3 linked regions of the Arabidopsis thaliana genome follow. The protein of the gene in region 1 interacts with the protein of each later gene in a pairwise test. Each region holds a gene or a part of one and is shown in the gene's direction. Other genes may lie near its edges.

Evidence for each region.
Region 2: the proteins of MSS1 (region 1) and AT2G39130 interact in a protein complementation assay, tested with the Arabidopsis thaliana proteins (one large-scale study listed by BioGRID).
Region 3: the proteins of MSS1 (region 1) and ZF14 interact in a protein complementation assay, tested with the Arabidopsis thaliana proteins (one large-scale study listed by BioGRID).

The regions. Positions count from the first base shown.
Region 1 is NC_003076.8:9,240,940-9,251,907, reverse strand, and holds MSS1 (Major facilitator superfamily protein), read left to right. Parts: upstream 1-4,367; 5' UTR 4,368-4,913; coding exon 4,914-5,046; intron 5,047-5,606; coding exon 5,607-6,057; intron 6,058-6,686; coding exon 6,687-6,978; intron 6,979-7,352; coding exon 7,353-8,057; 3' UTR 8,058-8,510; downstream 8,511-10,968. Other genes in the region: AT5G26330 (Cupredoxin superfamily protein), read left to right, coding at 9,273-9,438, 9,897-10,294; AT5G26320 (TRAF-like family protein), read right to left, coding at 10,672-10,835, 10,940-10,968. UniProt on the Arabidopsis thaliana protein: Mediates an active uptake of hexoses, probably by sugar/hydrogen symport.
Region 2 is NC_003071.7:16,318,141-16,328,915, reverse strand, and holds AT2G39130 (Transmembrane amino acid transporter family protein), read left to right. Parts: upstream 1-1,609; 5' UTR 1,610-1,760; exon of another isoform or gene 1,761-1,995; 5' UTR 1,996-2,065; intron 2,066-2,153; 5' UTR 2,154-2,171; coding exon 2,172-2,350; intron 2,351-2,489; coding exon 2,490-2,815; intron 2,816-3,282; coding exon 3,283-3,497; intron 3,498-3,896; coding exon 3,897-3,920; intron 3,921-4,369; coding exon 4,370-4,770; intron 4,771-4,890; coding exon 4,891-5,026; intron 5,027-5,117; coding exon 5,118-5,283; coding exon of another isoform or gene 5,284-5,327; intron 5,328-5,372; coding exon 5,373-5,416; intron 5,417-5,507; coding exon 5,508-5,570; intron 5,571-5,646; coding exon 5,647-5,745; 3' UTR 5,746-5,958; downstream 5,959-10,775. Other genes in the region: WTF9 (Ubiquitin carboxyl-terminal hydrolase family protein), read right to left, coding at 5,959-7,122; AT2G39110 (Protein kinase superfamily protein), read right to left, coding at 7,348-7,872, 7,950-8,072, 8,152-8,415, 8,511-8,887, 9,128-9,146; AT2G39100 (RING/U-box superfamily protein), read right to left, coding at 10,047-10,116, 10,308-10,564, 10,704-10,758.
Region 3 is NC_003070.9:21,649,816-21,658,879, forward strand, and holds ZF14 (MATE efflux family protein), read left to right. Parts: upstream 1-3,172; 5' UTR 3,173-3,346; coding exon 3,347-3,508; intron 3,509-3,865; coding exon 3,866-5,302; 3' UTR 5,303-5,624; downstream 5,625-9,064.

The DNA.
Region 1 (10,968 bases):
TTCTAGTCAAGAGATCGACTGAGTAGTAGCCACTACCCTCTAATATCTCAAATTTGTTCTCTCCACTTTTGAGAACTTGACAATACTTAGATGACTTGCGGTTGCCTTCAAGAATCTGCATTATTTTGGGTGGAAACCTTGTTTCACACTTGGCTGTCTTGTCACACAACTTAGAAATACGCTTCATAGAGATTCTCCTGACTTCCTCAAGCATATTTACCACTGGGAGCTTCCTTGCTTCCCTAATCGTTCTGTTGAAACTCTCAGAGAGATTATTGCTTACATCCTCACAGCTAGAGTGTGTACTGAAGAAGGCTCTGCACCACGTGGTTGGATCCGTCTTCAGCAAATCATCACATGCATCTGGATCATATGATCTCAGCGCATCCATGTTGTATGAGTAGTCCCCTTCTGTTGCACTGTAAGCAATAGCCCAAAAGTAGCTTTCATGGCAGTAATCTCCATACACCTTCTTCCAATTAGCATAAACGTGTCTAGCACAATGCCTATGCTCTGCTTGAGGTAGTAAATCAGCCACTGCATTGATTAACCCTTTTTGCTTATCAGATATCACAGTGAAACCAGCTCTAACGCCCAAATCCAAATCCTCCTTCAGTTTTTCAACAAACCAAGCCCAAGCTTCATTATCTTCTACTCTTACTATTGCCCAAGCAATAGGATAAATCCTATTGTCTGCATCCCTACCAACTGCTGCAAGAATCTCACCCTTCAATTCCCATTTCAGAAAAGCACCATCTAATCCTATAATCGGCCGACAACAACTCTTCCATGTAGTTCTAAGCTTCTCAAAACAGATATAGAACTTGTCAAATTGTTGCTTACCATCAGCTCTAGGAATTGTCACAATCTCTGTGTGTGTGTGCTTGTTAGACCTCTGAAGCTCACCTTCATAATCCCACAACTTCGCAAATTGCTGTCTCTGTGTTTCAATAACCATGTCAAACGCCATCCTTCTTGCTTTCCTGCATATCCACTTAGACACTGAAATCGTATACCTCATCATTATCTCATCCTTAATGTCAACCTAAGTCAAGGTTGGCCTCCTTCTTGCTTCATCTCTGAATAATCTGGCAATCACACCTTGTTTCAGCATCCTCGCTTTTCCACTGATCGCATGCTTATGTGCATCCACATAAGTTTTCACTGTCCATTTCCCTACCCTCTTATCCACAAAACAATAAATCTTCCATTGACAGTTTTCATGGCTGCATATAGCCATCAGCTGTTTCTGACCCCATTTGCATAACTTCACATCATAGTTAGTCTTCAAGACATACCTCAAAAGCTGATCCTTAAACTCTTCACCATTATTAAACTGCTGCTTAAGCCATAGATAAGGTGGCTTATCTTTGGTGAATTTAGCTCTTGCAATTTCTCTTTCTTCACGGTCTAAAGCATCCCACTCCTCATCTGTATCCAACGCAGCATCAGGTCGCTCTGTATCCATGCATTGATCCTCAAACTCTTCTTCATCAATACCCTCTTGACCAGCCTCTTGACCAGCCTCTTGACCAGCCTCTTGACCCGTTACATGTCCTTCATCAACTCCAGCCTCTTGACCCGTTACATGTCCTTCATCAGCTTCAGGAATTCCCTGACCAGCTGCTTCCCCTGCATCTTGGTGGTTATTATCCTCTTCATTTATCTCTTCATAAAAGGCCCTAAACCGAGGATCATCTCCCTCACATTCTGCTACAGGATCAACATCATCATCTTTACCTCTGTCTTCTTCCCCAGTTTTATCTCCTTCAACCTCTGCATCAGACTCTTCCATCTCTTCAACAACAGCCTCTTCACCATGCTGAGACATAGGAAACGGTGTTGGTTCAGACACACCTTGCTCAATATAAACGTCTACTTCTCCACCAATCAACGCTTCACTGCACAGCTGCCTAATCCCACTATCTCTATCCTCGCCTATAGCTCTTACTGATTCAAAGCTTTCGTGTGCAAGCTTGTACCAAACTTTTTTCACGGGAGCAGATACTCCATTCTCTGCTGGGAAATCGGCGAAGATAGACCACGTCATCAGATCTGGATCAATGAGCATATCCCTCTTCTCAAATCCTCCAATGTAGGCAAACGACTCATCGCGAATTGAGACATCTCCTCCATACTTTATATGCAGCTTCAAACAATCGAAACCACTGCAAAAACAACAAAGAATAAGGGGATTAAGTTCAAATGACACAAACCTAGAACTCTAAAAACCCAGAAATCAAACCCGACAAAACCCTTAACCTAGAAATCGAACCCGACAAACATAGAAACTGTTACTCTAAACTCAGAAATCTAACCCGACAAATCCAGTAATCGATCCAGAAATCTTCCCATTCTCAATCCCGACAACCCAGAAATCGATCCCGACGAACAAAGAAATCGATTTCCCCCAATTCTAACCCTAAGAATCGATTCGATTACATACCTCATCGTGACTTAGCAGACTCGTTGAAATCAATTACCGACCACAACGCAACCAGTTAAACGACGACACACATCGAAATCGATTTGGGGTTTCGAAATCAAAGAGAGAATTTTAGGGTTTCGAAATCAAAGAGAGAATTTTAGGGTTTGGAATCGAAATCGATTTGGGGGAGAATGCCAAAAGGGTAACAGTGTCTTTGATTAGATCGAAATAAACACGTGGGGTTAAGTATTAACCTCGGTTAGACACTCCGTTAACGAAGTTAACAGTCGTTAACCCGAGAAGCTGGTTTTTCCAAACAAAAACTAAACGAAAGATTTTAAAGCGAAAAGAAATAAACCTAGGTATTGTTCGGGCAAATTAAATAACCGAGGTATTAAACGGGCAAATTAAAAATATATGGGGTGTTTTTAGGGTTTTTTCCCCATTTTATATTTATCAGCTAATATTCACTTATGGCTTGCTCAGTTCAGAAAATTATGGAAATCGTTGTAACCCAAACCTGTGATAGTAAAAACTGTAGGCGATACCTGAATCGGGAAAAGTTTACTTTATAATACTTCGGTTTATTTCTACCGAAACTGATCAAATCAGCCGAATGAGTACAATAAAAAGAAAGTAAAAAATTATGAAAATCGCCGTACTATTTAAAATTTTCACCACAATTAGAAGCAAAAATCTTTAGTATTTTACCAACATATATATATATATATATATAAAATCTACGAAAATAATACTGGAATGCTGAAATAATGGGATGTAGTTTCGTTTCTTGGAGCAACGTACTTACAGAGCTATATTTTTATTTTAGTTTTTGTTAACAGGATAATAACAATAACTTTATAGATATTTATTGTTTATATATTTTATTATTGTTATTGCTCTCGTTGAAAACAGAATAATAATAAAACAAGCCTTTTTCTTGTTAACGACTTGACGTATTTTTTTTCTCTTTTCCTATTAATTATCGTCACGTTTTATTACGTTTCTCTCATTGATATTTGTGGAATCTGAATCGTATTAGTCGACTCCAACTCTTAACAGGATAATGATGTTTGAAAAGTAAAATACACACTTTTTTGGTCCAAGCAGGAATATTTTGTTACGTAATTAATTTTACATGTATGTCAAGTGGATATAGTTTACTTACAAGTCTAAACACATTATATCCGTGGTACAATATTTCAACAATTAATATTCAATTTTTAATTTGCATGTGTTGTCCTACTTTAATATTGATATATCAGTGTATAGGAAAAACTTCAATTACCAAAACCACAAAAGAATGAAAAATCATACATCAAAAATCAAAAACCTAAATATATTGGAAAGTCAATTATATTAAAGGTAGATATTTACTTGTTGTTGTTGTTGCATTGCAACTTTTCAACGCGTAAACAATAACTGAGTAGCAGTGAGCATATTTGGTTATTAGTCTTATCAGAACCAAAAACATATATGGTTATTGTCTTTTAAAGATATGGACCCATGAACTATACAAAAGTGACTATTTGGTAGATATACACAAATAACGTGACACCAACTGAGAAAACCATATGACAAAACAACACATATAAATTTAAAAAATTGGCTTCGACTAGTTGTAGATATTTTGTTCCATAATCGTATTAGAACGAGAGTAAACAATAATTGAATCGAGTGGTGAGCAAATATGGTTATATATTATAACGATTTTAAAGATTTGGATCCATATTCTTAATTAGGGAGGTTGGTGGGTTCGATTGGTGTCGGTCTAGTACTCACAATAATTGTTTCATCTCAATATGATTCTGAAATAAAATGTTGAATATTGCTTACGGTGTTAAAAGTATATGGGACTAGATATGGCATATAACGTAACACTTATACATAACATCAATAAATTTAGACAATACAAAGGACAGAATTAGTAAGATAAAATTCACAAGTAACATGACGTTGGCTATTTTGTATGAACACACGGCCCAAATCGTTCATATTCTAAAAGGTATAATACATTTCGAGATATTTTGCTTCGGTTGCAAGATTTTCACAACACATTGAGTCATTGACAGCGATATGAGAAAATGTAACAATCTCTCTAATAAGAAAGGAGAATCTTATAATTTAACATAAAAATAAATATAATATTCGAGGATAATACTATAACAAGAAAGAGAAGACTTATATGATGATGGGCAAATTGTATATTCAACTATAAGGACTTAAGGAGACGCCACATAAAGCAGAAAGAGTTTAGAAGAAAACGTTTGTTGACCAATGACTTGATGACTCAGTAGCATGTGAACATAAAAAGAGACGTGCAAGAATCTCATTGGCTGCAGATAACATCTATTTTTGCTTCACTACCTCAACTTCTCTATATAATGAAGTAAACACCCCCAATGGTCTCTTTAACTTAAGTGTTTCTGTTTAACTCCTTGAGAGAAAATAACTTTTAAACTTTAGCTTCTAAGAGATATTCAGGATGACCGGAGGAGGATTTGCGACTTCGGCGAACGGAGTAGAGTTTGAGGCAAAGATAACTCCAATAGTCATCATATCTTGCATCATGGCTGCTACCGGCGGCCTCATGTTTGGTTACGACGTCGGTGTCTCCGGTAAGAATATTAACATCCCTTAGTTATTTTTCTATATGTATAATACAATCCTTTTATCTTATATTATACAAAACGTAGAAGAAGTTTTTATTTTAAAGATACATAAGTTTTTGTTAGTGCAAGTTTTCTCAAAAAACGATTTTAAATAGGACTTGCTCATGTTTTCAACTACCGCCAATAACTTCTTTGGTAGAACTATTTCACCTAATACCTAACTTCTTTGGTAATCAAAATGAAATTTCAGTAACTAGCTCGATGTTAATTAATATTGGTTAAAGTAAGAAAATAATCAAAAAAAATCTTAGCTTACAAAAGTTTGGCAGCTAAAGATCTAGACCGTCCTTGTTTTAGTTAGTATATTGACAAAAGTAGTGTCATATAGGTTTTAGTTCTTCTTTTTGTTATTTTCTTACAACACACATGCTCGATGTTGAATTTGAACATGGGCTACATCAACATGAATAAATTAATAAATTTATGAGTATAATATCCTATAGGGTTTAACGGTAAAAATAGTAACAACAAAAATAATTTTCCATCATTGAAATGGCTATACGCAGGCGGAGTGACATCGATGCCGGACTTTCTCGAAAAGTTTTTTCCCGTGGTTTATCGGAAAGTAGTAGCTGGCGCCGACAAAGACAGCAACTACTGCAAATACGACAACCAAGGACTACAACTTTTCACATCATCTTTATACTTAGCCGGTCTAACCGCAACGTTCTTTGCTTCATACACGACAAGAACGCTCGGAAGGAGGCTAACTATGCTCATAGCCGGCGTTTTCTTCATCATAGGTGTGGCTCTCAACGCGGGGGCTCAAGACCTAGCCATGCTTATTGCAGGCAGGATATTGCTTGGTTGTGGAGTTGGGTTCGCTAATCAAGCCGTTCCGTTGTTCTTGTCGGAGATTGCACCTACTAGGATCCGTGGTGGTCTTAATATTCTCTTTCAGCTTAACGTCACTATTGGTATCCTCTTCGCCAATCTTGTCAACTATGGGACCGCCAAGTAAATATCTCTTCCCTAATACTTTTCTTCTATATTTTATTTGATAATCTGAAAAAATGTGTGGAAAATAAACTTAGGGTTTGAGATTTTTTTGACAAAATAAAATCCAAATTAATATATGGTGGTCATAATTTTAGAAAATTTGCTTTAACATGACACTTGAAAAAATATCCACATGAATTGTCTCTTTCACTTCACACAACCTTAAATTTATTGTAAGAAAAAAAAAGATTTAGTTACATGTACTACCTAAAAAGTATTCATAATTTTCTGATCGTTTTTGTCAAACTTTTTGGCTGTCTTCCGTGTTTATTTAAATTTATTTTCACCTTTTTCAAAAATCATTCATATCCAATTACCAAAAAAAAAAGCATTTAACTTTATGAATAGATTTGAACAAAACAACAAAGAAAAAACTTTATCATATAAGTCGCAAACATAATTTTCTTCCGTGCTTTCGGCAAATTCTATCCACATGCCTACGTCTTATATAGTCGCAAACAAAATTTTCTCCGGCATTGACTTTTAATGCGTTATGATGATCTGTCACCTGTAATTAATGGGCTTACGTGTAGGCCCATAACGGAGTTAAAAACTGGCCCACTAAATAAATTTTGAAATGTTCGCAGGATTAAAGGAGGTTGGGGATGGAGGTTATCGTTAGGTTTGGCGGGAATTCCCGCGCTTCTTCTAACGGTCGGAGCTTTATTGGTGACAGAGACACCAAACAGTTTAGTCGAAAGAGGTCGTCTCGATGAAGGTAAAGCTGTTCTTCGTCGTATTCGAGGGACCGATAATGTTGAACCAGAGTTCGCTGATCTCCTTGAAGCTAGTCGACTTGCTAAAGAAGTTAAACACCCTTTTAGAAACCTTCTTCAACGTAGAAACCGTCCTCAGCTCGTCATCGCCGTCGCTTTACAGGTTAGTACTACCACTTCTCTGTTCTCTCGTAATTGGTAATCGGAAAAGTTTATCTCCGATTTGGAGAGTTTGACTGAAGTGATTTTGTTTTTCGTTTAGGATCTAGAAACCCTAAAATTTGATTCCATTGTGGTCATTTTAGGAGCAATAACCCTAATTGTTTGTCAAGTTTCCATAATTTTAATTCCATTGTGTTCATTTTAGGAGCAATAACCCTAAATTGTTTGTCAAGTTTCCATAATTTTGATTCCATTGTGTTCATTTTAGGAGCAATAACCCTAAATTGTTTGTCAAGTTTCCATAAATTTTGATTCCATAGAGTTCAGTTTCAAAGTTTAAAGCTAATCTTTTTTTTTTTGGTGTGCAATTTGCAGATTTTCCAGCAATGTACTGGAATCAACGCGATTATGTTCTACGCGCCTGTTCTGTTCAGCACATTAGGGTTTGGTAGTGACGCTTCACTTTACTCAGCAGTGGTGACCGGAGCAGTCAACGTCCTCTCAACTTTAGTCTCAATCTACTCCGTTGACAAAGTCGGTCGCCGAGTTCTTCTCCTAGAAGCTGGTGTCCAAATGTTCTTCTCTCAAGTCGTAATCGCCATTATCCTTGGCGTCAAAGTAACAGACACTTCTACAAATCTCTCCAAAGGTTTCGCAATTCTAGTCGTGGTAATGATCTGCACATACGTCGCTGCTTTCGCCTGGTCTTGGGGACCGCTCGGGTGGTTAATCCCTAGTGAGACATTCCCTCTAGAGACACGTTCCGCGGGACAAAGTGTAACGGTCTGCGTTAACTTGCTCTTCACGTTCATTATCGCTCAAGCTTTCCTCTCTATGCTTTGCCATTTCAAGTTTGGGATATTCATCTTCTTTTCTGCATGGGTTTTGATTATGTCTGTCTTTGTGATGTTCCTACTTCCGGAGACTAAGAATATTCCTATCGAGGAGATGACTGAGAGAGTTTGGAAGAAGCATTGGTTCTGGGCTAGGTTCATGGATGATCATAATGATCACGAGTTCGTGAATGGTGAGAAGAGTAATGGTAAATCTAATGGCTTTGATCCTTCAACACGGCTTTAAAGTGGTTTAAGAGTCCCTAACCAAAGTAGAAGCAGAAGAGAGTGAACAAGAGGTGGTAAACACACCAAAGTAGAGAAGGGAAATACAGTTTTCAATTCTATACAGTGTACTAAATTTCGTTACTTTAAGTTTGAACTGCGTTTGTGAATAAGTGAAGTTTTTTTTTTTGCTTTGTTGTGGTTCTTAATGTCATCCCTGAGTTCCAATTTTCTACAAGTGTGACATGTATATGTCAAACTCTAAATTTGCATTGTCGATTTTCTCTTAAAAATGATGGTAGCCTATGTTAATGGGCCAAATATAGGTTTGTTATGGGCCTATAATGGACTGTATAATTATTTTTGTTGGTCTCAAATTGCTTAAAAATATAGACTAGTTTTGAAGTTATACAGTCTACTCTCTACTAAAACCAGCAGTGATCAAATTGCATAAAATGTTGTTATAAAAGTTTACCCAAAAAAAGGTATTTATCACAAATATATTACTTAGATTAAAGAAATCATGGTACCAAGATGTAGGAGGAAGAGTAACTGCGAAGTACTAAAATTAAAAGATGATTCAAAATTAGCAGACCAACTAACTCGCACCATTCTTTCCTTACAAGCCTTCCAAACTTTAAACCATGTGAACACTTGACAACATATAACAAGAATCACTTTTTTCTCCTTTTGTTTAAAAACCGACTAATTTATGAGTTTTCAAAATGAATTAACCATAGTATTTTTTTATAAATTGGATTATTATATCCCAAACTAAACTTCATGTGAGATTTCTAAGTCATTCATGTCTTTTAAAAAATATCATGTCAAGATTTATTTAACATTTTATAAAGTTTTAAGGAAAAAAATCATCATTTAATTTCTTTCCTCCATTATTCTTTCTCAATTATATCGACATTTTTATTTTTTTATACATTCTTCCAATTTTCCAAGTCAGTCTTAGACATTAAATCCAACACTAATAAAAGGTAAACAAGTAAAGTAAACAATCTTTGTCAGTATTTTGCTTTTTAGACACTCCTTTCTCCAAATTAGCCAACTAACCAATAAAGATCAAGTGACCTCCTAATACATACGCACCACCACTCACATTCACATACCTCCTTGTATATATACACACACATAATAAGAAAGAGAGAAACTAAAGGAGAAAACCTTGTGGGGCTCTTTACCAAAGAAGAAGAAGAAGCGTGTGTCAGAGAAAGTTTGTTGACCGATGGCAGCCATTATAGTGGCGGCTTTAGCGTGTATCGTGGTGATGCTACGACTGAGTGAAGCGGCCGTGTACAAAGTCGGCGACTCAGCAGGATGGACAACCATAGCCAACGTAGACTACAAGCTATGGGCTTCTACCAAAACTTTCCACATTGGTGATACTGTCTGTGAGTTCCTGAATTTTCTTACATCATTGTACAATACAAGCTAAATTAAAATGAGAAGATCTTGACTGTAATACTTAATTTTGTCGGAAAGTGGACCCCCTCTAGCATTCATAATTCTTAAGTGCGTAAGCTTTAGGTGTAAAGTAAAGAGTACCACTCACGCCCTAATCATTGAGACTTTTAAGTCACAAATTAAATTTATAGGATTAATACGAAATCAAGTGTCACATCTGCTAAAGTGATTATATTAATTAGTTTAGAGAGGTTCTTAACTTATGAATCATGATTGATAAATTTTGAAATAAAAACTATGATTGAGTTTTTGGGCCAAAATATGTTATGATTTTTCTTTGGTTTATATATGCTCTCTATTTTTTTCTCATGGTATGCACATGTTTAAAATTGTTGTTACCTTTATGAAAACATGAGTAAAACGTAAACTAATTTGATTTTGATAGTGTTCGAATACAACCCACAATTCCACAACGTAATGAGAGTGACGCACCCAATGTATAGAAGTTGCAACACCTCAAAGCCAATCTCTACTTTCACCACCGGCAACGACTCAATCACACTCACCAACCACGGCCACCATTTCTTCTTTTGCGGCGTTCCTGGCCATTGCCTCGCCGGTCAGAAGCTCGACCTTCACGTCCTTCTCCCTGCCTCCTCCACGCCACTCTCTGATCCACCAACTTCCTCCTCCTCTTCTCCTCCCTCGACTACTATTCCTGCAGCCGGAGTCCCTGGCCCTTCTCCTAGCCTTGCTGCTTCTCTCCCGAGTATGGTGACGGCTCAAATCGTGGCCGTGGTGACTCTCCTAGTCTCTTTGGCCTTTACAAATTTTGCTTCTTAACTAGGATTACATATATGTATATTGGAATTACTGCATATAAGTTTTTGTTATGTATACTTATATTTTCCATATAGTTCTTTTTCCAATGATTAAAAAATGTAGAGATGGTTCAACAATAAAAATGTGCACTAAAACCAATTAGTACTTAATGAGAGTATTGTTAAACCATTCCGTTATATTCTTTTGGTCATCTTTAACCAGAGTTATGAGATAATACGGATAAAATTTTGATTTGTGCCATCATTTTTGTTGGACCACCCTGCCAACGATCCATATGGTTGAGGTTTAAACGGTTTAATAGATCTGGTTGAAAAAATTACAAGCTTTGTCTCTTTATTCATAAGGTTGTTTAATCGCTGACAAAGAATTAGAGATCTCTAAGCGGAAACAATATTGGTCACAGAGACCTTAACAAGTTCAGCTTCAAAGATAATTGCATCATTCACCAAATATCCTTTTGATGAATTTTGTAAATCTTCTAACAATATGATACTGTTCCCTTCAATACCATAACCGCTTCGAATCGCACACCAAGCTTCACCTGAAAAAGAGAGAGAAAAAGGAACAAACCAAATTATATTTTTTTCACTTAATATGTCTTCTGGATATTAACATTTTACTTTTATTCTTTGATAGTTTTCTTACTATATAGTTGAATGTGGTTGGAGCTTCGT
Region 2 (10,775 bases), on another chromosome or scaffold:
AAAATACAACAATGAAGCATGTGGGGATATGTTGAAGGAAGCGGAGAATCAACAAAGAGAGATCAAATGAGCACATGCTCTTGAGTTATCGTTTCAGAAGAAAAGTCCAAATGAACGACCAACAGATCTACACATCATGTGATTCTGTTCTTACGATTGTGATTTTTTTGCCGGTTCACCTCAATTAACTAGTCATTTTTGCAGATTTCGAAAGTGAGATAGATATATACTTTGATTTGACATACTTACAATCTGATACATACATGTTCAATGAACCATTTTGTTTTTATTAATCTGACCTTTTTATCGTATATCAACTTTCATTTTGAAAAATTAGCTATTTGATATTGACCTAATCTTTTGATTGATTACTGTGGCTTTTTCCCTCTTGTTTTATGACGATGCAATTTAAATTCACCAATCTAGATACTCCATAGCATATGTGATATATACTCTGAAAAGGTGTTGCTAGCTAAATGAGATGAATCGCTCATTCATATGTGGTTTTGATTTTTGTGTTTCTCATGACACTTCTTGTTTTCGTTAGCCTCGCTAAGGCGTCACATTTCATGAAACCTTAATAAAAAAGCACTATTTGGTTAGTTTGTTTTAATACATGATCAGATTCTCAGTTTGTATTTCTGACCAACAACAAAAAGAAAGAAAGATTCTCAGTTTGCTGTTAAACTATTTTTAAAAAAGTGGGATTTGAGACAATCCCACAATCCTAAAGCTGATGTATTGCAATAATAAATTTAAATTATCTCCGTCAGCAAGATATGGTTTGCCTACCCAACAATGAAGAATAGTATAATCATATTCTATAATAAGAAATTGACATAAACAGCCCCCTCGGATTATGCTAATTAGTCCACTTAATTACTTTTATTTAGGTGTATCTTAAGGACATTTTCTTGTCTATAGTAAGTAAGATAAAGAAGCAAACAATATGATTAAAAATTATGACGTCGTCGAGCCATAAATAAAACAAAATATGTACTATTAAATAAGCACTGCTTAATCTGGCACCAATCACATATTCACGGCGTACCACCACTTGAGTTTGCAACTCGTCGTCATCCAGTCATCTCCTTGTTGTCCTAAACTTGTGTGTTCTTGTCTTTTTATTCCACTCGACCAAAAGGGCGTGGACACACTCGCCTGATACTTGTCACACGTCCTTCATACGGGCTCTCTGCTAATAAAACAAGATGGTTTTTTTTGTTGTTGATATTTTGTTGTTTCCGTTTTAAACCAAATCTTACTTTCACATTGTTTTCACTTTTGTCTTACGATCTCATTCCAATTTCTTACCAAACATGGTTTAAAAATTTAATTAAATATCAAAACATCTTTGTTAAAAAAAAAACCCCCAAATTGGTACTCTTTTCCAAACTATTACATGTATAAGCGTTGGGTTTAGAAAACAGTACCAATCAAACTTAAACTGGGAATCTATAACTGGAAACCTATCACATATTCAAACTAAAAATGGGAATCTATAACCACAACAATTAATACTCAATGATTAATTATTAAATAAGTTTAGAGGAAAATGATTAATATAAATAAAATAAGTTACCCTAAAAAGTATTTAATTTGAAAAAAACTTTTGTAAAGAGTTTTATTATTTGTAGAACAGAGAAAAAGCCGCTCTCTCTCCCTCTCCTTTCCACTCTCATCTCCCTCTCTCTATATCCTCCTCCTATCAGAAGAGCTCTCTCTTCTCTCCGCACCGATTCTGATCCGAAGATTTTCAGGTAACAATATCAATGTCTACAACACCAACGATTCTCACTTTCTTCTTTCTTCAATCCTTTTTCATTTGTTTTCTCTTTTGCCAATCAATGATTTAAGATTGAATGAAATTCTCACGCAGCGATGCAATCTTATTTCTCTCAAAATTCTGTTTCTGTTTCGAAATTCCGACAATCTTACCAATGTTCTTTTGTTTGTCTGTTTTCTTGATGTGATCTGGGGACTCAATCATTGAAGCTTAGAATTTTTTTACATTTCTCCATAATCCTGTTCTTGAGACAGAACAAGAGACTGTTTGACTTTACAGGTTAGATCTCGTCACCAGTTATCTTTATTCGGATTTGATTGTTCCGACAATCTTACCATTTATTTTCTTTTACACGAATTCAAATCAGATTTCATAAAGTGAAAAAATGAATCACGTACCGTCTGATCAAAGCTTTTACATTGAGAGCGAGGACGAAGACGATAGGAAAGATTACGTAGAAGAAGATGGTGGAAGCCATTCTGATTCCTCTGATGATGTTTATGATGAAAACCAAGCTCACATTAAGCCTAGCTCATACACCACTGCTTGGCCTCAGAGTTACAGGTTTGGCTTCTCTCCGTTTCCACTCTTTATTGTGGTAGTTAAGTGAATATGTTTCATTTCCGCTAATATTACTCCATTTCTTGATTTGATTTGCTACGTTTTAAGAGTTGGTTTTGTGTGTTCTTGATAATGTTTGTAGGCAGTCGATTGATCTTTATAGTAGTGTACCGTCTCCCGGTATCGGTTTTCTTGGGAATAATTCGATGACGAGATTCGGAAGCTCTTTCTTGTCTTCTGGTTTGATAAGAAGACATACTCCGGAATCATTACCTACTGTTACAAAACCTTTGTTAGAAGAACAAGCAGATGAACAAGCACTACCAAAACATAGACTTAGCTCTCAGGGCTTACTCTCTCCTATTCCTTCGAGGAGGGGTTCGATGCGAAAGGATGAGAAATCATCCATGGTGTCTCATGAGATTCCAATGTCTCGTAATAGCTCATACGGACAAGCTGTACTAAATGGTCAGTTCATCTTAATGCTTGAGTTAAAATATCGTGTCTTCTCTTCGTTAAAAGTGGTTAAATAGTTTTAAGAGATTCTCTGATGCTTGGCTTGATGAGAGTAGTAACGATGGTAGAGCTAATTGCTGCTTTCCTAGAACTATAGAGCTGCAATATTGATTGCAATTGTGTTCATTCACCGTTAAATACTAATGAAAATATGTCAACATTTTCTCTGTTGTTTGATTTTCATTATAGGAATCTAGATTGTGTGTGTAAGAGGGTCTAAGACCGTCTTCTTCGGGGTTTAAAGATGTATGTCTCTTTATAAATTAAGTGAATCGTACAAAACAACAATCAACTCTATTGTCCTATAGCACATGGAGCACATGTTGGACCAAACACGTCTAGGTTCAAAGAACATGATTGAGATCTTTTGCTCTTAGTAAATTTATGATCATCTTGTATAACATGTGGGTCATGTGCAGGATTGAACGTTCTTTGTGGGGTTGGAATACTTTCAACGCCTTATGCTGCCAAAGAAGGAGGATGGTTAGGACTTATGATACTATTTGTATATGGTCTTCTTTCTTTCTACACCGGAATCCTCCTTCGTTATTGCCTCGACAGTGAGTCTGACCTCGAAACCTATCCCGACATTGGCCAAGCTGCGTTTGGTACTACTGGACGTATCTTTGTCTCGGTAAGATGATAAATTTCCTTAAAATCTTCCTCTATAGTGAAGGTGATATAAAGTTAAGGACCAAATAGAGAAAAAGAAAACTGAATGAACTATATACAAGATCCCACACAAAAAGAGAATTGCCTTTTGGCCTAGGATCAAATAGAACAACTCAAAAGCAAAGGGCAAAAAGCTACCACTTTTGTTTCAAGTATGAAGCTTTATTCTTATGAAAAATTACTATCACGCATGTGTTGGTGCAATTAGATTGCTATAAGAAGTCAAATGAGTAGAAGAAACCTATTGAATTAATAATACATCTCATCAAATAGAGCAAGAAACTACGAATATTAGCTTCTTTAATAGTGGAATTTGATATCAATTTTTATTAATTTATTCCTTTTATTGTTTGTATTGCAGATTGTACTCTACTTGGAGCTATACGTAAGTACTTCTTGGATTCGTCCATCACTTGACTTTAATTCATATTTTATAAAAATTGGAATCCCATGACTCTTTTTGTCAAGAAAAGTACATAACTACAGAGATTCCAAGTTGTGTTTTAAAAAAAACAAACAAGAAAAGAGATCTCAAGTATGTGACCCCATGTTGTGAAACACGTTAGCAAAGGGTCCCATAGATTCTGCCACTAGTTCTAGATTTGGCACTACCTGAAGCTGCTTTAAACTTTTCTCTTTGTTTCATTTTGTTCCTTCATAAAGCTTATATACTTTTGACGTCACTAAAGTAGCAAAGATATATTTTAGATGGAAATGATCCCTAAAAAGCTTCTTAAAAGCTACTAGTGTGAAATGATTAGTTGAATAGTGACTATATAGTAGATACTAGATGATACATCTGCAGACTTGACATGAGTCTATTCATATTTTCAGGCATGCTGTGTGGAATATATAATATTGGAGAGTGATAATTTGTCTTCATTATATCCAAATGCTGCCTTAAGTATTGGAGGATTTCAGTTAGATGCACGCCATCTATTTGCATTGCTAACCACTCTCGCCGTTCTCCCCACCGTTTGGCTCAGAGATCTCAGCGTACTTAGTTATATCTCTGCTGGAGGGGTGATTGCATCAGTGCTAGTGGTTTTATGTTTGTTTTGGATTGGTTTGGTAGATGAAGTTGGAATTCACAGCAAAGGAACTACACTAAACTTGTCAACATTACCTGTGGCTATAGGACTCTATGGTTACTGCTACTCAGGACATGCTGTTTTCCCCAATATTTATACTTCTATGGCCAAACCATCTCAATACCCTGCTGTTCTCTTGACATGGTAAGCTTATGTCGCTTTAAACAAGTTCTTATCTTCTACAACGCTTCGACTTTCGCTTATGCAAACTTCAAGAAAATATTCAACCATTTTGATAGCAGAAAGATTGATAATTTTGTGCAGTTTTGGTATTTGTACTCTGATGTATGCCGGCGTCGCTGTTATGGGTTATACGATGTTTGGAGAATCAACACAGTCACAGTTTACTCTCAACTTGCCTCAAGATTTAATTGCAACTAAGATTGCTGTGTGGACTACGGTAAGTGGACCAAATATGTTTTCTTTCCACTACGTATTGGTTCTTGCATGTTGGTTGGAAGTAAAACCGTTTTGTTTTAACCGTTTCACAGGTGGTCAATCCATTTACCAAATATGCTTTGACCATATCTCCAGTAGCAATGAGTCTTGAGGAGTTGATACCATCAAGGCATATCAGGTCACATTGGTACGCCATCGGCATTAGAACCCTATTGGTCTTCTCTACTCTGCTTGTTGGTCTCGCTATTCCCTTCTTTGGTAAGTTCCTCTTTACTATTTTGATGCAAAGCTCCTTTTCTTGAAAATCATACTTTTGCTAGTTGTGAGAACACTCAAAAATCTTGCAGGTCTTGTCATGTCATTGATTGGATCGTTGTTGACTATGCTCGTCGTAAGCTGTCTTTTCCTTCTATTTTTGGTATATCTACTACAAATGAGGATCTTAAGTTTGGATATATAAGTTCATCTTTTGTTTTGTGCAGACTCTAATACTTCCTCCAGCTTGTTTCTTGAGCATTGTAAGGAGAAAAGTTACCCCGACCCAGGTTAGCCTCTCACAAAAACATTGTTTCTATGTGTTATAAGACGATTCATTAACAAAGTTTTGGTTGGTTTTTGTAGATGATGTTGTGTGTCTTAATCATCATAGTAGGAGCAATATCTTCAGTCATTGGCTCATATTCAGCTCTTTCCAAGATCGTTGAGAAATTGACCAACTGAAAATATTTCTCTGTTTTTTTCTTACAAACTCTTATACCCATTTTGTCTTTCAGGGGAATACTTTTTTTCTTTTTTTCTTTTTCTGTTTTGTCTTTTGTTTTCGTATAGCAAAATTCATTCTTGCATTCAAAGCTTTTGTAATATCTGAGTGATGATCTGCATCTTAAAACTGGTTTGAAAGTTGATTAATAAAGATTGGTACAACATTTTGCCTTAGCCTTCAAAATCCAAATCCAAATCTTTATCTACAACCCCTTCGTCCCTAAACCCGAAACTATTCCTTCGACTCTTCAGAATCAACTCTGAATTCTTCATCAACTGGATGTATTTCTTCCTTACCCCCAACACAGGATGTGTTTCAACACTAGCTTTATCTCTATAAGGCTCTCTAAGAATAGCTGTACAAGTTTTATTCTTCATAGACAAGTAGAAAATCTGCGGATGTCTCTCAAACGCCTTATGAACCTTTTGCGGCAATCCAAAATGCTTCTTGAGACATAACAACTTCTTCCTCTCAGCAGAATGCTCAACGAAAAGACAAAGCAATTCATGAAGAAAACCAACAACTCTCTTCTCTGCTATATCACTACTTGGATCCAAACATGAATAATCATCATATGGTGATACATAAGGAAGCTTTTGAAACTCCATTAACCAATCTTCAATCTTGACTCTCAATCTACAACCTTTTGATGGAAACAGAGGAAACTCAATCTCTTCTAAACTCACTTCTCCTCTTCTCTTCTTCATTGCATTCTTCTGCAACACAGACAAAACCTTATCTCCTCCATTATAATCTACTGCTAAACCTTTAACTCCATCTTCCATATCCACAAACCTAAACGAAGAATCTAAATTCATATCTGGAAACTGCAAGTAATCATCAGGTAAACCTAAATACCATTTCATTCCTTGAACTATACTTAGTGGCAAAACATTATCTTTACTCATCAGAATCAATTTCTTCAACCTATCACGCAAATCATCTGCAGAAGTTTGGTATACGACTCTCTCTTGCCTATCTAGTTCTGTTGCTTCTGGTGTCAATCTAAACCATGGGAGATTATACTCTGGACCAACGAACTCTTCAAAGATTGAAGGAAACTTCCTTAAGAAGTGAGCGATTTTGGTTGATACATCGAATTGACGAGTCTTCTTGGAGATGGCAGAGATCGGAATGCAGCGATTAGGTTCCTGGACGATACAGTTCTTAAGAGAGACGACGGATTTGAGCTGAGATGATCGGAGGATGTGTTCGATGTTGTCGAAATAAGGATCTCTCTTCCATTTCATGTAAACGTCGACGTAGGTTCGTTTCTGAGTAAGGTTGGTGCAGGAGGAAGCTACGGTTTTGGCATGGCGGCGAATAGAGAGCATTGTGGAACTAATCGGAAAACCCTAAAACCCCAATTAACGGGAACATAGAAATCGGACTATCGGAGAAGACAGTTGCAATGTTTACTTTAAGATGTAAACGACACGGCGTTTATTGTGGGCAAAACTGCGGGCCGTTTTATTTATAGAAACGACAAGTGATTATAATGGCAATTAATATTGGCATAACACAAGCAGTGTGATTATCAGTTTGTTCTCTCAAAAAAATCAAATAGAAGTAACAAGTTTATGAGACCAAGTAGGTAAATTGGGACAACCATTTTCTCCAATTAACAGTTCAACAAATCTTCTCTTAACTCTCTCCCTTCTTGAGGCTTCGAATGCATCTTTAGGTGTCAAGCTTTTCATCAATGGCAGTCCTGAAGGAGCACCATCTGATGATGTTTCCACTATCCTTTCTAACATCTCTGAAACCTGACTCATTGTTGGCCTTGCTTTCGCTTTTACCATCAAACACCGGTTAGCAACTGCAGCTAGCTTTAATGCTGACTTGAGGTAGTAGTTTCCTTCAAGTCTTGGGTCGATGATCATTTTGAACTTCTTTATGTCGGATAAGTGTGGTCTGATCCACTCCAAGATGTTCTGCTCGTTTCTTGGGCGGTTACGGTCAAAAGGTCGTCTTCCTGTGATGAGTTCATATAAAAAGATTCCGTAGCTCCACACGTCGCTCTTAGCCGTGAGGTGTCCTGTTTGGATGTATTCCGGTGCTGCATAACCAATGGTCCCTACAACCTGTAGATTCATAGTTTGGTAAGACTTCAATTGTTTCAAACAATCAATGGAGACATAACAAGTAAGGCGTAGCGTACCGCGGTGGAAACGTGAGTGATTCCATCTGAAGGACCCATTCGAGCCAGTCCGAAATCCGAGAGTTTTGCATTCCAGTTCTCATCAAGAAGGATATTAGAGGATTTGAAATCCCTAAAGATGATCTGCATATAAGATGAGTATAGTTTCAAGAACATATGAAAAAGGTTTAAAGGCATTTGTGATCATGGATGGAGAAGATACCTGAAACTCCATGCCTTGATGAAGATAAGCGAGTCCTCTAGCAGTGTCTTGAGCAATCTTCAGTCTGGTGGACCAAGGAAGAGGAGTGACTATAAAACGATTGGATAAATGGTCTTGAACACTTCTGTTTTGTACGTATTCGTAAACAAGTAGCCGTTGGATCCCTCTCTCATCATCCTCAGCGCAATAACCGATCAGCTTCACCAGATTCGGATGCTCCACTACTCCCAATACATTTACCTCTGTCACCCATTCTTTATGCCCCTGTTAATGCATACGTAGTTGTTTTTATTGTTGGGTACTGAAGGAGGTTGTGTAAAACAGAAGCAAACTAAAGAGAGAGAAAAAGATTTGCTTGCCTGTAGACCTCTTCTACTAAGTTGTTTAACTGCAATATCAATCTTTTTACGAGAATCTTGAGGGTTCTGAATCACGCCACGAAAGACACCACCAAAGCCACCTTCACCGATCATCAAGGAGCGGCTGAAGTTCTTGGTAGCGGTTTTAAGGTCATCGAGGACAAATACTTTGAGATTATTACTGTGTGTCTCTGAGAGGACGTGCAAGGAAGAAGTAATGGAAGTAGCAGTACTTGTATCTGAATTAAACTCAGACCCTGATCCTCCTCTAGCCATCGTAGCTGAACCAAACTTTCTAGTCTTAGCTTCATCATCCTGAGTTTTGTCTTTGCTGAAGTAGAAACATTTCATTGCCTTAGATGAAACCAGCCTCTTCACTATCCAAACCAGGTCCACATTCCAAGTCAACACAAACAGAAACACGATCAGAGATGAATTAACAGAGATAATCACCAATCATTCAATCCATACCAGATATCAAGTTATCAACACAAAAATCATCACATTTCAACTAGATTCCCTGACATTTGGAAGAATGTAGAACAAAAATCGATATACAACACAAAAGTAGAAATGTGGTAAGAGTGTTGAGAATCAGAAAGGGAAAGAGAAGAAACCTGATGTAGAATTATTCATGAGGATGAATGGAATGCTGTGATGGGGGTCTTCATGATCATGATTGAGAGAGCTTTAAAGCAAAAGAAAATGGTAGAGAAAGAGATAAGAGGAGAAGAGAGAAGACGAGCTCACCATGATCGAATGGGGGAAGTCAAATAGGCAATGGCAGCTGGATTGCCGCTTACCAACCTATAGAAGAAGCCTTTTATAATATTTTATTTTGTGTTACACCCGCTTGCTTACTTATATCAATCAATACCTTAATAGAGAACGCGTTGTTTATTAAAAAAATTTCCCCGTGTATATTCACCATTTAATCTTTAAGGTACGGTTTAGAAGAGAAATTCAAATGAACTTTCCTCTTCTATGGAAGCTTCGTGTAATTTATCTAAAACTATGTATAGTTTTAATTTATTAAAAATTGATAGTCAAATTATAGAAAATATTTAATGTTGTTGAAATAGGTGGTACTCGAAACGTAAGAAAAAATGATGAGGTGAGGAAAAGCGTTGGAAAGAAACTTTGGGGGTGAGAATTTTTGGTATAGAAGAGACGTACATTATGGAAGTAGAGAGACTAAGTGTCAGCTATTTGAGAATCCACCTATAGCTATCTCAAAACTAACTCCACACCTAAACTTGCATCATCTCAACATCTTCCTCCTACCTACTCTTTAACTCTTGGTTTCTCTTACTTGGTCCAGTCTTTCCACTATTGAACTTCCAAGACACCAACAGTCGCGTTGTAAGTCTGTCTATTTACTTCATTTGACGAGAGCATAGTGCTCGGTTATCTGCAAGCGAATACAACATAATGACTTCAGAAAAAAAACCATCGAAGCAAAACAGGTTCCTACTTAGTGAAACCAAACCCACATAATACATATCCTAATTTCTTTACCTGTTTTTTTTACTGCTATTACTCCACCTCATTGTATTCAACCACTGCATCATAAGTCTCCATCGTGAGTATACTCTCCGCAAAACATCTGAAAAATGTTTTCTTTCTCATCAGAAATAGTATATGACCAAAAAACCTAAACCAAACAGATATCAGCTCTATCATCTGTTCAGACTTACAAGTCACTAGGTTTAGGTTGCCTATGTGTTTTCTGTACTACTATACTAAACCTGTAACTACTTGAAACTCTGAAAAAACCCTAGCGTATAAAAATCTTACCTTAGTTCATGCCAAAATATATCCACCTTATCAGACAAGAATTTTCGAAGAGAGGAGACTTCATCTTCCACCAACATCCCGGTCTGCCCGGTTTGTCGATTATTCTCTCTCTCAAGCCTTTTGATGAAAAGAGCTGACGCAAAATGAACAATAACTGAGGGATCAGGATCTCCAAGGACTGCCTGAAGCTCTCTTCTAATCCATGGCTCAATTCTTTCAGTTATCTTTGCTTTGGTGTAATCATTCACCGCCAAACTCTACAATAATCCAAGATGACACAACGAAGCAGGTATATATAAGGCTTCCAATGTGAACATATATCCAATAATGTAAGAGTGTAAACCCCAATACTACAAACATCAAACAGAGAAGAACACATTGTATAATGAAACTTACTAGTTCCAAGCGCCTTGAATGTAATCGAACAGCTCGTAATTGCTTAGTGTATATGCTGTATTTAGAGCCAAC
Region 3 (9,064 bases), on another chromosome or scaffold:
CGACCATGTCACAAACTTCTCATTTAATACCAACAACCAAACCGGTGTGGCATGGAGGGTCAATCCAACGACATATCTAAGGACATGAGTCCTAGATCTAGGGAAAATATTCCTATCAAACATACTTATCCAAGACTAACAGAGGGACTAAATATTATTCAAGAAGTCAATTTACAAATCAATGCAGATCATAAGTCTCGTTTCTCCAAAAGTACACTTGTTGGTTTCCCTTCTTCTCTTCTTCAAAATCTTCTGATCATCTCATTCTTAGTTCATAATGTCCAATATAGGTCACCGAGTAATTTTCATTCTCGTCTGGCAGCCAATGAAACCTGAAAATTTTCTTTACTTGTCCCTCAAAGCACCAAGAGATACTTCACCGTGTGTGTTTTTTCACTTACGTTGTACTGAAAATCATAGTTCATCCATCCTATAATACTACAGTTTAGACACAATTAACAAAGGAACAGGTTATGAAAAAAAAAATTGCGATCAAAAAAAATACCAATTGTTTAGACATCCACATGCAAACGTCAATTTTAAAAAAGTCTTACAATCACTTCACTCATAAAACGTATTGCATATTGCAAAAAAATGTTACTATTACCCTCAAACGATGTGAGCATACAATGCTTGACGCTCATCTAAGTTTGGTTATGATATCACTTGGAAAGATCCGACTACAATTATTTGTGGACCTTTCTGTTCACTCCTAGCCCGTAGGCTTCATCCACGTCTGACCACCGATGTCAAACTTTTGAAACCTCTAAGAAACTTGTTATTGGTCATATATTTCACCACAAACGTAAAAATACGTGTTTTTACATCTCATGATATTAATAATCATTTATAATAGGTCATTTTCTTTAGATATCTCTAACTTAGACACACTTAATGTGTAGGTTTTTCAAAATGAGTCACGAAAAAGTTAATTACACTTTGGTGATACATGAAAAATCAAATTAATAATTTTGATCATCTCAACACGCACAACTATTTTTCAAATTCAAGTTAGTACAAATACTATACGATCCTCATTTACTAGACAAAGGTTATATTCTTAAAACCAAATTAACTCCGGAAAAACTTTGCCCCCTCCAAAACCAAATTATAGCTTCAGATCATGTATTATGTATATGAATCACAAAATGTGCAGGTCAACTAGTTGTTCTCCGTTGCCTTAATTTCTCTTCTTCTCCACATGTCGTTCCCTCACCATCAGACTCCCAACACATGTTACCATATAGATATTAAGCCATAAATAACTCGTCATACAATTGTACAAAGTATTTATAGTTACGTTGTACAAGAAAAGTATTTAGAATTGGTTAATTTGCGATAAGACCTTTAGTCTACTTGATATATTTTTGCATACACGTGAGAAATTTGGTCAATAGAAATGCTGATCTACCGATAACGGTTTTGATCCTTTTCACGCCAAATTTTATAGAAAATGATCATATGCCAAAAACATATACAACAAATGAAATTGCATGTTGTGGTAAAATATTGATACAACGTTTTAATTAATTGTAATCATTTGATAGAAAACAAGCTATTTTAACATTAATAAGTTATATATAATAAATAAGTTACTATTAATATTTTACATTTACTTTTATAAAGATTTATTTATTTTAAATAGTTTTTAGGTTTCATGGTATGGTGGCAATGAACATGCTTTCAAGCCATTTTCTGCATAATAGTGTTTAACATTACATTACATTACATATATTCATTAAACCTAAATGTTAAAATTATATATGCTAAAGTTGCAATAGACATGCAATTTGAAATTGGAAGAAAATGCTAAATTAAATCTCATGCCATTTTACAGCATAATTTGATATTTTAGACATAGGAAAAACTTAAATTTTATCTTGATTGACTAGGAAAACTTAAATTAACCGTTAGTGCAAAAAAAGAAAGGATTATCTTCACAGAAAGTATATAGACTAATCTAGTGCAGTTTCCTGTTTGACATCATTACACCTAACCTTAAAATTTTCGGAGTTATAAAATAGGACCGACCTCTGTTTCTAAATGTTTCAGCGGAATTAAAGAAAAACAAAATGGCATAAAATTTGTAATTGTGTCACAAATCACAAATGATATAAAATTTCATTTTTTATCAAAAAAAAAGAAAAAAAAAGAAAAAAGAAGGAAAAAAAAAAAGAGAGAGGCAAAATTGGCATATTAATAGGACCGACCTTAGTTGGTTTTGTTTGTTTTTAATATTTGCTATGGAGTATGTGTTTTAGCAAAAACAAATCATAAATGTATATACATTGTTAAGTGTATAAAAATTGTAAATCCGTAAAATTTGAGTCAAATAGCATACAATATCTATAAATGCCATAAAAATGTAAAATTCATTTAATTATAAATCTAAATCCTAACTACTATTATATAAATCCAAACCGATATATAATCTCGTTTAATTAGAAAATTTAAAACCTTTATTATCTTTTATAAACCTAAATCAATATTTAAACTTGTTTAATTGTAAAATTTAAATCTGTTTATAAACTCAAACCGATATTCAATCTCATCAATCATAAAATTGAAATCTTAACTTTTTCTTATAACTGATATATAATTTTTTTATGGCAAATTATATTTTCTAATTAAATTAATTTAATATTATTTATTAGGTGGTAGATTTTGATTGGCTAGAATAAAAAAGTTCACCCAAGTATTTTTCAAAACAAGTACTAACCCCATCAACTTATGTGACCAACCGTTATTGAATAAATGCTTTTTATCCTCTCAGCCTAAGAGGTAACAACAGCCTGATATTCTAGCACTTAGGACGACTGTGAATTCGCCAGCCGACATAACCGAAAGAGTTCAATATATAGTGAAGCCCAAAGTTGAGTTAAAGATTAGGAAAGAGATTTGCTATTATTAAAGGTAATGCGATGTATTTTAAAATAGTTAACTAAACCAATTTTTATGTCTTTCTTCAAAAGTGAACTCTTGAGCTATCCTAAACCTGTGTGTCGTTCTTCTCACAGACTTATTTGGTGGACACACGATTTGTTTAGTCAAAGCAAACAAAAAAAGTCCCACTTCCCTATTAGAAAATCAATTCTTTGTTAAAAAGAAATTAAAACTAATTTTCGCCACGTGTAGAAACGATATCGCTTCTTTACAACTATAAATAGTCAGCCTTTCTCCTCCAAAAGGCCCAACCAATTCCATATTAAAAATATTAGTTCCTCTCGGTTCCTTTTATCATTTGCATAAAATCGTTTTGCCTCCAAAAGACTAAAAGCTCTAGACTTTGTCTCTTTGTCCTTTTATCTCTACTCCCAACAAAACCAGTTTACTCCTCTTAAGAATCATGTGTAATTCAAAACCATCTTCTGCTTCATCTTCCTTATTATCTTGTAAAGACAAAACCCATATCTCAAAACTCGAAACCTGTGATACAGATAATCCTCATTATTCTGAATTCAGGGATACTGATTCTCTAGACCTTAAAAGATGGCCAAGTTTTCTGGAGGTAAATTATTTCTTTTTTTTTCCTATACGTAAATGTTTGTTTTTTTCTACATAGATATGAACATAATAATTCAAGAATCTAGTTCTTGACAAAACTAGATTGTACGAACTATACCAAAAGCATATATACATATACATATATATAAATAGAAACAACAGTTTCGCAATCCTTTTTATATATATACCTAAATCTTTGGTCCCGGTTGGTGATTTGGTTTTGTCATTTTTTTATAAAGGTTTAAGATAAGCTTTATTTGATTAATATAATTAACCATTAACCAGGGAAAAGAAAAAAACGATCTACTGACGTGGACGGTTCTTGGTCTTGACTTTTCTTTTCTTAATTATCTGGCGGCAGGGCTTAGAGGAAGTGAAGGCGATCGGAAAAATCTCTGGGCCGACGGCGATGACCGGGCTTCTTATGTACTCAAGAGCGATGATATCGATGCTGTTCTTAGGCTACCTCGGTGAGCTTGAGTTAGCCGGAGGATCTCTCTCCATAGGCTTTGCCAATATCACCGGCTACTCCGTCATCTCCGGTTTGTCCATGGGGATGGAACCAATCTGTGGCCAAGCATACGGAGCTAAACAAATGAAGCTTTTAGGACTAACCCTTCAAAGAACCGTCCTCCTACTCCTCTCCTGCTCGGTCCCTATCTCCTTCTCGTGGCTCAACATGCGCCGAATCCTCTTATGGTGCGGCCAAGATGAAGAGATCTCCTCTGTTGCTCAACAGTTCCTTCTATTCGCCATCCCTGACCTCTTCCTTCTCTCTCTGCTTCACCCTCTTCGAATTTACCTCCGAACACAAAACATTACATTGCCCGTGACTTACTCCACGGCCGTGTCCGTTCTCCTCCACGTTCCTTTGAACTACCTCCTAGTGGTGAAACTTGAGATGGGAGTAGCGGGAGTCGCTATAGCTATGGTTTTGACAAATCTCAACCTTGTAGTCCTCTTATCCTCTTTTGTGTATTTCACTAGCGTGCATAGTGATACATGGGTCCCAATTACTATTGACTCTCTTAAAGGTTGGTCGGCTTTGCTCTCACTTGCCATACCCACTTGTGTATCTGTTTGTTTGGAGTGGTGGTGGTACGAGTTTATGATCATTTTGTGTGGACTTTTGGCTAACCCAAGAGCCACCGTGGCTTCCATGGGAATCTTGATCCAAACGACGGCTTTGGTCTACGTCTTCCCATCCTCTCTCAGCCTTGGTGTCTCTACAAGAATTAGCAACGAGCTTGGGGCTAAACGTCCGGCGAAAGCTCGGGTATCCATGATCATCTCACTCTTCTGCGCGATCGCCTTAGGCCTAATGGCGATGGTGTTTGCTGTGCTGGTTAGGCACCATTGGGGACGCTTGTTTACCACGGATGCAGAGATTCTTCAGCTGACTTCCATCGCATTACCCATTGTGGGGTTATGTGAGCTCGGAAACTGTCCTCAAACAACCGGTTGTGGGGTTTTAAGAGGCTGTGCAAGACCTACACTTGGTGCCAACATAAACTTGGGTTCATTTTACTTTGTGGGCATGCCAGTCGCTATTCTGTTTGGGTTTGTTTTCAAACAAGGGTTTCCAGGTCTCTGGTTCGGGTTGCTTGCAGCTCAAGCAACTTGTGCTTCTCTCATGTTGTGTGCACTTTTGAGAACAGATTGGAAAGTCCAAGCCGAGAGAGCTGAAGAGCTGACGTCACAAACTCCCGGAAAGTCTCCGCCCCTTCTCCCCATCGCAAGCTCAAAGAGCCGGTCTACCTCCGGTACAGAAGATATGATGAGAACCATGTTGGTTTAGATTGATAGCTATTCTCTGGAGGCATTTGCCATCAACATTGACGTACATATATGTTCTTGTCATCATTTTTTGGAGTTTATAGTGCTCCTTAATTTCTACTTTTTGATTTAAGAACGACTTTGTTTTGTGGGCTTTAGTGGTGTTTGTGTTATTTATGGTTGTATTGGTGTGATAGTTCTAATTAGCTTTGACTTCAGCAGTTTGTATTTTATGTGTTCCCTTTTGTAATAACTCGTGGTTTGATTATCTTTATATATTTGTCCATTTTCTAGGAGAATGTGAATTTTTTTTGTTAAACTAAGAATAAATTTATTTTATTTTATTTTTGTCACAAAAACTAAGTATAAATCAAAATGAAAAATTTAACCTCAATACAACTTTAATATATATATATATATATATATATATAAAAAGATTCCAAGATACTAGACGTGTCTAGGCCATTGAAATCTAGAGAAAGACCATACTAGTAGATCAAACCTAATGGCCGAAGACAATCAGAATAACTAAGGATACAGTAAAAATGTTCCATAATAGGTTAATTTTTTTGCAATTTATTTTGTATTCGTATTTGTGTTGTGAAAGCTTTGCTTATTTAACAATCAATTCTTTTCTTAAGGACAGGCAAGATGAATGTTTTATTTTTGAGCTTTTGGTGGTTCCATGTTCCATAAAAGGAAATTATATTCGTAGCCAAAAATGGAAAACAATTTCCTTTAATTCTATCATATTCTTTGTCTCAAAGCCATTGAGATTCGATACGTTTTAAAATTTAATTGAGATCACATTTATTTTGATTTTGGTTGTTTCCTTTGAGCAGAGAGAAAGCATCTTTTCTTTTATGTATACTTTTTTTTGTCCTGGGACCAGAACATGAATTTATACGAACTTCACAGCGATGTGGCCAAAGAATAAAACCAAATATGACAAGAAAATGAAATAAAACTGAGTGGAATCGATAATGCGTCTACGTGTCGACGATATGAATTACCTTTCAACCTTTGATATTCCTTTTCTATAGATATTTTTAAGAAATAAAATAAGTAAAGCCTAGTAAACTGAATTCCATTGGCTTGCTGAAATATCTTTGATTTTCATTGGCCATCGATAAAAAGTTCGAATTTCATTGGCCTTTGAATTATGACGAAAGAAAAGACAATTCTATATTATAAGTTTTGGACATCTACCTTTTGTTATTATTTACACGTGAATAGTTTTTTTTTTTTTTTTTTTTTTGTCTTTTATTGGTAAACACTATGAGGTCAATCATACTCATTCTAAATTTACTGGTGAAGCTATTTCGAAATTTTAAAGATATCAAACGTAGATGATTAACCACGGTAAAAAAAAAGTATATTTTGTAGATAGAAGTTGTTTTTCAGTACTGTACACAGTTAATTATATCTATATATGGAAAACTATAGTAAAATGAGAAAATAATAATACTAACAGTAAACAGGATTATTACGTATTTTGCCATTTTTAGTGGTATTTATGAATTTTGCTATTTTGGCTAAAATATTATGGATTTCTAAATGATATATTTGTTAGGAAAATAAATTGTTTCAAAAAGATAAGAGTTTTTAAATTTTCTATGTAATATTTTTTAGTTATTATTGATGACTCTATAAATTTTAAGAAAATTAATTGAATACTATCAGTAGAATTATAGAAAATTGTAAATCACAAAAAAAAACAGATACTTTTATAATCAACTTTTCATATGTGTGAGTGACAACTCAAGAAAATACATTATTTCAAAACAAAGGGAGTGTGTTTTAAAGGTCATTTGATATAATTATGCATTACATTTTCTTTCTACGTACTTTTTAACACTACTCTTATGTTCGCAACAATTTAAATACTTGTCATTTCCCTAAATAACTCTTTGTTTTCTCTCATTTTGCAAAGTAACCCTGCAAACTATCCTAGGAGGTGAGCATTTATTATATCTAATATATGACATATTTTTATACATCATAGAATTAGATCCGAAAGGTGATATATGTTCATGTATACTTAGAATAAGTATGGCAAGTATGCAATAATAAAGTGGAGTAGGTACATCAATCACATGTTCTTACTGTTTTTGTCTGGATCAAACGTTCAATTGTAGCCACATGAAGCATCACAAACATATAAATATAGTTCATAATACGTAGAGAGTAGAGAGAGTCGTAGACAAGTTTGTGTTCTAAGAAAAATCGAATTAATAGATGTCAAGTCTATAAATGTCGCGTGTGGTAAAGCTCGAGTTTGGAGGAGAAAGAGAATAGGCAGGGTCCCTCACCCGGCCGAGACATGAGCGTTTGATTTCCCTTTATTGTAAAATAATAGCTTTACAATCCAATTTATCACCTACTTACTTTTTCAACATCATCTTCTCATGATTCCAACCATGAGATAAATCTCATTTTCTGCTCCTCAAAGCAGCAACTAATCATATCATGATTGAGTACAAAGAGGTTAAATGCAAGATTGTTGCAATTGTTGATTCTGACGCCACTTGGAACGTGCATTCCTCTTTTACGTTAAAACAATAGTGTTTGTAAATTGTGACAACTTATATACCATCTACTTTTCCTCAAATTCATTAGGTCACCAATGGACCAAGCATGTCGAGATCGAAACTCTATTCATCCGTGAAAAATTAGCTATCGTCAAATTCAAGTTTTACATGTGTTTTCCACCTATATGGCTATATATCAATAACTCGCTAGAGTTTATTTTGCAAAAAAAAAAAAATCTTTATGGTTATTTTACAAATAATGTTCAACCATATGGTTGTTAATTCATATATTGTATTTATCATAATTAAAAATCTATAATGCCAAATGCCGACGAAGATTAAAAACATATGATATTCATAAAACTTTATTGACATGTACGATTGTTATATAGTATAATCTTTTGATATAGTTTCTTAATTATTGACATGTATGATAAACTACTACCTAAGAAAACTTTATTCTCTTTCTTAAACATTTACTTCGTTGAAATTAAGAAAAGGAACTCGTGATGCATGAGCTTTCTCTCTCAACCGACCTTAATTCGCCTTAAGCATGCCCCAAAATAGGATATGATTAAATATTTGAAAAACATAACTCATTGGCTCTGCCGTCCGGATGAATCCTTACCAATGGTTATACCTTTTCTTACTCACTTTGGATTGTTCGTTATTACTTTATCCTATTTTATTGAAATAAAAAATAAAAGTCAATTATAAAGACTCAAAAAAAGTAAATTATAAAATTCAGTTTATCACTTATCAGGATAAGAAAAGAAGGCCACTCTTTTGCCACCGCGTTCAAATGTTGTATATCGAAATAATAATGGCGAGTTATCATTCGTTGCACACAAAATCATCAAACTCAAAAGATATCTTACATAAATTATACAATATGAACATGTAAAAATGTAAGATAAAGGCACTTAATTGTTATTACCTCCTTTCGAAACTATTATATTTTAAATTATTACTATAAAATATGGGTTGTCACTAGTGCTAATAGATAAAACAAATTGTGAAGTCTTAGACCAGAAAATTTAATATTTAGAAGAAAAACATATTAACAATAATTAACCAAGATTAGAAATGAATTCACTTATACAAACGATAAACGTAAATTCAATTTTCTGATTAATGACTTTAAAATAACGGCTTATAAGACTATGTCAATAAAATTTATGCATTTTCAAAATTTGAAACTTACATAAGAATTTTATTTATATTATATCGAAGCTATAGACAATATATACTAC